Ovis aries: one gene and its partner. The protein of the gene in region 1 interacts with the protein of each later gene in a biochemical or structural test. Links are inferred from orthologs where the notes say so. Each region holds a gene or a part of one and is shown on either strand. Other genes may lie near its edges.

Region 1 (3,827 bases):
GAATAATGAGATTTAATAATATAATTATGATCAGAAAGAATATGCTTAATTTAGCTTATCTATGAGAAAAATTAATGCCCTCTGACTGCTATTTGGCAAAGCTCATTTGTAAATTATGATCAAAATTATATTAAATCCATCACTGATTTTTATTTGCATCTTATAAAATCATTTTGATTTTAGTGAGAGGTTATGTAATATAGAATGCTCTTGTAAAAAGACTGAAATGATATGATGCTAATACAAGGTGAGGCACAGGGTAGGTGGTCAACATTACTTATTAGTTTAAAGTGAAAAGTCTTTTAATGTATTATTTCTGAACATTGGACATACAATACAGTAGTTGTAAATGAATCTGAAAATATCCACAAAGAGTTCAAACATGAAAATAAATTGTTGGTTACAATTTTAAGAGGAATTTTTACAAGTGATTTTTTTCAGTCTTAGTTTTATCAAAATAGAATTAAATTTAAAAATAGACCTATGAAAGCTAACTTCCAATTAGCTACTCTGTATGGAGAAGGAAATGGCAACCCACTCCAGCATTCTTGCTTGGGAAATGCCATGGATGGAGGAACCTGGCAGGCTATCGTCTATGGGGTTGCAAGGGTCAGACACAACTGAGCAACTAAGCACACAGCACATGATGTAGATGGCAGGTTCAGTCCCTTCTCACAAGATCAACCTATCAAAATCTTCTGATTACGTTACAACAACCCTCTCAAATCAGTTTTCCCTGGGCACTGAATCGATGCACCTAAGGACTGGTCCAAGAATGTGGATTTTTAAATAAGTAGCTCCCTCCTGCCCCCTGGTAAATTATTACGTCCAGGTTGATTTGGAAAATAATGCTTTAAAGCAACCAAAATAATTTTTATCAGACTTGAACATTGATTGATAGAAATTTATCTAGCATCTTAACAATCTGCATAATTCATCAAGATGCTTAAGTATTTCTTACGTAAAAATGCTGCAAGGTTTTGTTTTAATTCTAATAGCTCATAAGAGTTGATAAAACAGTAATCACCTTTGTGAACTGCTGGTGATTGGGCTTCTATAGTTTCATTATTCCATATACCTTTTCCTACCAGGAAGCAGAAAAGTCATCTAACAGTTTTATTAAAAAACTAAACAATGTGGAATATATTCAAATAAGCATACAACTGTTTAGTCTTTAAACAGTTATACCAACATGTTACTTGCAAAACTGGTTATCAAATACCTATTAATTAAAAAATTCAATTTACAAAGTATTATGTCAACTCTGTATACAAAATCTCATTTTCCATATTATGGAACTAGGAAGCAAATATTTAACTGGATATGTATACATGAAAAATGTACACAGGTTCATTTTAACTGATCAGCTATTAAGAAATCCTTCTAAATTAAAAAAGAAAATGGAAGATATTCTCAAACAAGTATTATAGAGTACTGAGTAAAGTGTAAATTAGAGATTTGAAAGAACGTTTAATTAGGATTAAAAAAATGAACTGCTAATCACTTCTGTTTTCTAATAACAGTATCATATGCAGAGAAAACCTACAATCTCACTGAACTGGGTTAAGTGGGTTTTAAGCTGATTAAAACTATTTAATTTAAAATGAACTCTTTCCAAATCTCATGTAAATGATGCAGCATTCAACAATTTATTTTAAAAATGACTTTAACAATTTTAGCATCAGTTTAAAAAAAAAAGCCATTGCTAACACACAAATTGAAAAGGGCTTAATACGAAGTCCTTGGTTCTGCATTGCACTTCATATTCCCATCTGTATATCAGCAAAATTGTAGAAGCTGTCTACATCTCCAGGTGCCGTCTCCTTGCTTTCTGATACAAATATCTACGTTAAATGTAAGAGGAAAAAAATAATGTATTAGTAATCCCCAAATTCCAAAGCCCACATCCTCCACAAAACAGTCAAAAGCTTGCTATTTAAAAGAAATTCTGGATTTTCTATAGAATTCATGCAGTATAGTTTCAATTAGCTATGATGTAAACGGAGCTCTTTTTAAAGCATTTATGATATAATTAAAGTCTTTGCTTTATAATGCTTTGGTTGTATTTTACTACTCTTGGAATTTCAGTTTTTAAAATATGTAAACCAATATTATGAAAGCTACTGAATAAAGAGATTTATGTAAAGAACTCTTAATTTCTTTTATTTTCTAATAAAAATCTCAATAGACCAAGAAGCAAAACTTGATATTTTTTTTCAAAGCTGCTAAAGATATTTTACTAATTTTAAATTAACTATTTTCCAAACATCAACAAAGCAGTACTCAATAGAACCCTTCAAAAACAGCTTTTATAAATGTCTGCCAGAAATCAGAGGAGACCTGAGTTCTATTTATCTTGATCATAACTAGCTGAATGACGCTGACAATTTAATCAACCTCTCTGGGCTCCATTTCCACATCTGTAAAATGAGAAAGTTGGATTAGATAATCTATAACTCATTCAGATCTAAAAGCTCCAAATCATATAAACATTTTCTCTCTGTTTCCTTTTCTATTCAATCTGATTATATTTGCCCTCTCCCTTAGTACTTGTTGCAATGATCAAATGAGACAAAAGACAAAGTACTTTAAATTGTGCAAATTCAAAGGCCCATAAGCTAAATCAGAGTACAAAACCAAACGTTTCCTCTCAGATATTTATTTAAAAAGTTACGTATACTCATTTAATCATCTTATATGTTTGTTTCTAAGCTATATTAAGTTAAAAATTGAAATTCTTAGACTCATCAACCACATCTAGAAAATACCTACATGTAATGATTTCTAGATATAGCTCAAGTTTCGATGAAGCATTACTGAAGCAAATAAAAGTGAACACTGAGCAATAGGCTTGTCCATTTAAAGTATACAATCTTAGAAATGTAACATTTTCAGCATATCACTATTTTTATTTATTTGCCACACTGTGTGGCTTGTGAGGTCTTAGTTCCCTGACCAGGAATGAAACCTATGCTGCCTACACTGGAAGCACAGATTTTTAACCATTGCACTGCCAGAGAAGTCCCAACATATCACTATTTTTAAAAAAGGAAGAACTTGAAGAGACATTTGGTGAGACATTTGACTTTAGAAACATGTGTGATTGAGATTTTTAACATGTAGACACTTTGTAAATTTTTAAGCTATTAAAATTTCAGTTTGGCAAGGAAAAACCAAAGCTTAGTTCTCAATTGTTTACCAAAGTTTTAAAAATCATGATGTGCTAAAAGTACTATTTAATTGTAATGAAAAGAGAAGGAAATGAAAGGTTTGACTGAAATATAGTCAACAGTATCTTGTACCTTGGTCCCCCTGAATGTCTCGTTGACAATAAGTTGACATCCTTCTACAGCGCCATCTCCATTGAACTCCAAGGCAATAACAGGACCTATAGGCAAAAAGGAAGTGTTGTCTTATCATGAACACAAATCTATTCTCAAATTAATCTTCTTATTCTTCCTTGAAAAATCTACAGCCTTTTCTTTGGGGGTAAGAGAAAAGAAAGAAGAGAGTAGACAGATAGGACACATCACTTCAGCTACTTCTTACTCTAATCATAAAACAAATTAACATAGAGTTTTATCACATGACAAATAGCGTCAGTGCCATTACAGGTCTAGTGTCACATTTTTAAGTGTTGTAAATAGTCTGGCTTTTCTGGCTTTCATTCTTCTATGAAAACTATAAAAAGTCCACCAATTTAGCAATATAAAAAATAGCTGATAAAATGACAAATAAGATCAAAAGCTATTCAAGTCATTTTGCCAGGCAGCCAGTCTTTCTTCCAACTCTCCCACTTACAGCCAAGTTTTGGGCCACCAGTAATG
Region 2 (3,827 bases), on another chromosome or scaffold:
AAAATGGGGAATAGAGTTGTGTCCATTTGTAAGTTTTGTTGCTGAGAAAAGTCTATGCAATTTCAAAATAATCTCATATTTCAAAAACATATCAAGAGATTCTATTTATATGAGATAGTTAAAGTAGTCAAATTCATAGAGACAGGAAAGAGAACAGTGGTGATTAGTGGGCTGGAGATGCGGAGGGATGGGGAGTTATTGTCTAATGGGCATAGAGAGTCAGAGTTGCAAGATGATGGATGGATGGCAGTGATGGTTACACAACAGTAAACCAAACTTAAAAATGGTTAAAATGGTAAATTTCATGTTATGTATATTTTACAACGATTTTTTAAAAAGAAATCATTTAAATGTATATGTCTATACATATCAAGACACATCAGTTCCCTCAGATCTAAGTGATTCCTTTTTAGAAATAGCCTTATCTTCTCTGATTTCGAAATCAGTACATATGGAAAATACAGAGAGCACATAAAGAAAAAAAAAACAGAGTACCCTGAGAAAAACCACTTTTAGTATATATTTTTCAGACTTCATAAATACAAACGTATGTCAATTTTTAAAAGAAAAAACCCAATTACTTTTATTTTTTTAAGCTTACCTCTTATTTTATTTTTATTATTTATTCAGCTGCTCTGGTTCTTAATTGCAATATGTGGGATCTACTTCCCTGATCAGGGAATGAACCCGGGCCCTCTGCATTGAGAGCACAGAGTCTTAGCCAGTGGACCACCAGGGGAGACCCTACCCATATTTTAAAATCCAGTCTCATCAACCCTCCTCTTTCCTAAGGCTAAGCAAGCAAAAGCCAAGGCTGGTGGTACTCCCAGCATAGATGTTGCAGATGAGTCCTGCCTGGAAGAATCCTCGTAGGTTTCTTTAGGGCTCCTCTCCTACAAGGAATCCTGAGAAAACTTGACCTTTGGCCAGGCCTTTGGGCTTCCTAACTAGCGACATCCCTGTTGGTCTTACTTTGCAGCGTTTGAACAAGAGGTTTTAGCAAAACCAGAGTTGTTTAGCAACTCTGTTGCTGTTCCTGTTGCTGTCCTGCGATGAGCTCAATGTCCTGTTTGAATGGCCATGCTGGTGTGTATACTTGATGGCCAGCGAGTCTTACTGATTCGCAGCTCTTTACAGAAAAGTCATTTCAACTGCTACCAAATGAGCAATTTTACAGCTTCTGAACAAATTTAATGTATAGCCTGAGGAGGAGCAAATTACAGTAGTCTAGCCTAGACAAGCTGAAAACACCTATTAGGGTGTCAGGATTTCTGCCAGAAAAAGAAGAACTAAGTTGTTGTTGGTTTTTTTTAAGTATTAGAGATAGGCTGTCTCTCTCAAGAGCACCACTGAAATGAGGAGGTCAACACTGAGAGCAGGAACATGAAGTCCTAGTTATGGACCCCAAGTTCCAGTTCTAATTTTCAGGCTCTGTTTGATGTATTACTATATTACATCAAGGTTTTGTATTTAGAACAAATGTATTTTTGTATTTAGTCTTAAAACATACCTATGATGTGTTTTTTTTTCATATTAGAAAAAATAATAGATGCTCATGGTAGTAAATTTAAAATATGTAAATATGTAAAATCGAGAAACTAGATATCACCTATAATGCCCAGTCAGACATAACCACTGTTAACATTTGAAATTGTATCCTTTCAGGCTTTTTCTTTCCCCATTTATGGTGGGTATGTTGAAAATAAAAAGTGAAAAATGGCTCATACAGAGTATACTATTTTGTATCATCTGTTTCACTTCATAATAACGTCTTGAACATCTTTCTACGTTGTTCTGTGTGTCAGTACTAAGACAGTACATGTCTCTAAATGTTTGCACCCGTTCATTATTATTTCTTTAGAATAATTTCTAGTAGATTTGTTAGGTTTGGTGACTTACAGACTTTTAAGGCAGTTAACATATGGTCAAATTCCAGGATCTACTCTTATTTATTCCCTCATTCCAGAAAGGAGTCATTGTTACTGGGTCTGACATTTAATAACGTAGTTAAGTGTAGGATTTTTAAATGCATAAAAGTGGTTTTGTCAGTGAGTCAGAATGAAGCTGCCTCTTACAATAAGCATAAGCCACTTCCCTTAAGAGTTCTAACACTTCTAATTTACCCAGTCATTGGCATTTTCGAGGAGCTGTAGTCAACATCATCCCCAGTTGTCCTCCAGTGACTGACTATCCTTGGTGGAAATTGGGTGGCTGTGTTCCCCTACCCTTGCCTGTGCCTTGTCCTTCTGTGGTGGCAAGTTGCCAGGAGAGGCAAATGTTTGTGGAGGCATCTCCAGACCCACCTAACTCCAGCTCTTTTGGATGAAATGTCACTTCCATGGGAGCAAGCTGTTGATCGGGTTTTTCAAATCCTGATTTCACGATGTCGTTCTTGCCAGAAGATTTTTTTTCTTTTTTTATTCTTGCTTATAAAATGCCTTCTCTTCAAACCCCAAAGTTCTTGTTAGTTTGTTTCTCTGCACCCAAACTCCCAGCTCACCATTCTGTCTGCCCCTGATTGGTTCACTGGCCCCAAAGTTCCACCTGGCATCACTGTCCTGAAAATGAATCCTTTCAAGTTCATCAGAGATAACCTACTAAAGAACAGTTTCATATGCTCATCACCACCCGCACGAGGGCTACTACTCCAGTTACAAACCAGCCTCCCCCTCTGTGTCCTGAGTTCAGCTCTTTCCTTTTCCTGATCAGTTCATATGAGAGAATTTTCTTTCATTTTGGGTTGTTCTTGAAGAATCCAGTCTTCCAGGGTGTAGCTCTTGACTCTTTTTAAATTTCGCACTTGTTCTGTTCTGTTGAGCCTGCAGATTCGTCTTTGTTTGTTAGTTACATGTAATATCCTGTTAAATGTTACCGTCTTGAGGACTGATGGGGATTGAAGGTGGTTTGTGTTGATTATCTGAGTAATTCTCATTCTCAGTAGTGGCACGTGTGTGTGCACTCAGCATGATGTCATGAGCACCGACTCTGCCCCGAGTGATGGGAACATGTGTAAATACATTTTTCTTCCCTATCAGAGCAAACTGTTTTCAATATCATCTGTTTCTTATCCTGCAGAGTATCTCAGAATTAATAAATAACATAGCTGGTAAATGTACCTTTGTCAGAAATGTGATCTCAAAGTCTAGTAAAACTTGGTGTGTGTTTTTTTTTAATTGAAGGATAATTGCTTTACAGAATTTTGTTGTTTTCTGTCAAACCGCAACATGAAGCAACCATAGGTATACATATACCCCCTCCATTTTGAAAAAACTTGGTGTTTTTGTTTCAGGGTTTTAACATCAAAAGTGTACAATCACAAGGTTTTAAACTGAATGTCTGGGACATTGGCGGACAGAGGAAAATCAGACCATACTGGAGGAATTATTTTGAAAACACTGATATTCTTGTAAGTACTCCTTCAGATTCATCAGTTCATAATCTCTTCTGCCCTGTCCTACTAACATTTACCCTGTGATGATCTATCCTGTCAATAATTCCATCGCCACAACATTGCTGTCTGCCACAATGAATTTAGGGCTAGCAGACAGATTGTGGAGCTTTGTGTAAGATATTTTGTTGTCGCTCGGTAACAGTGTAGTGCCCACACCCACGCTGGCAAATAAAAGTATTTACTAATTACCATAGTGATTGGAACACAGAAAAGTCAGAGGAGTGAGCCACTGACTCTGTCACTCCAAGAAAATCAGTAAGTCAGGTATATCCCAAAGAGAGCAATCAAGACAGTGAAGGTCCGAGAAACCAGGATGTATGAGAAATGGTTGAAAGACCTGAAGATGTCCTTCCTGGAAGAGAAAGTGCTTAGAACT

Evidence for each region.
Region 2: the proteins of RP2 (region 1) and ARL3 form a complex in vitro, tested with the Homo sapiens proteins (2 studies listed by BioGRID). The link is inferred for Ovis aries from reciprocal best matches to the Homo sapiens genes RP2 and ARL3.

Annotation. Positions count from the first base shown.
Region 1 is NC_056080.1:57,905,160-57,908,986, forward strand, and holds part of RP2 (protein XRP2), read right to left. Parts: intron 3,389-3,827; coding exon 3,303-3,388; intron 1,845-3,302; coding exon 1,761-1,844; 3' UTR 1-1,760. UniProt on the Homo sapiens protein: Acts as a GTPase-activating protein (GAP) involved in trafficking between the Golgi and the ciliary membrane.
Region 2 is NC_056075.1:23,049,615-23,053,441, reverse strand, and holds part of ARL3 (ADP-ribosylation factor-like protein 3), read left to right. Parts: intron 1-3,289; coding exon 3,290-3,406; intron 3,407-3,827. UniProt on the Homo sapiens protein: Small GTP-binding protein which cycles between an inactive GDP-bound and an active GTP-bound form, and the rate of cycling is regulated by guanine nucleotide exchange factors (GEF) and GTPase-activating proteins (GAP).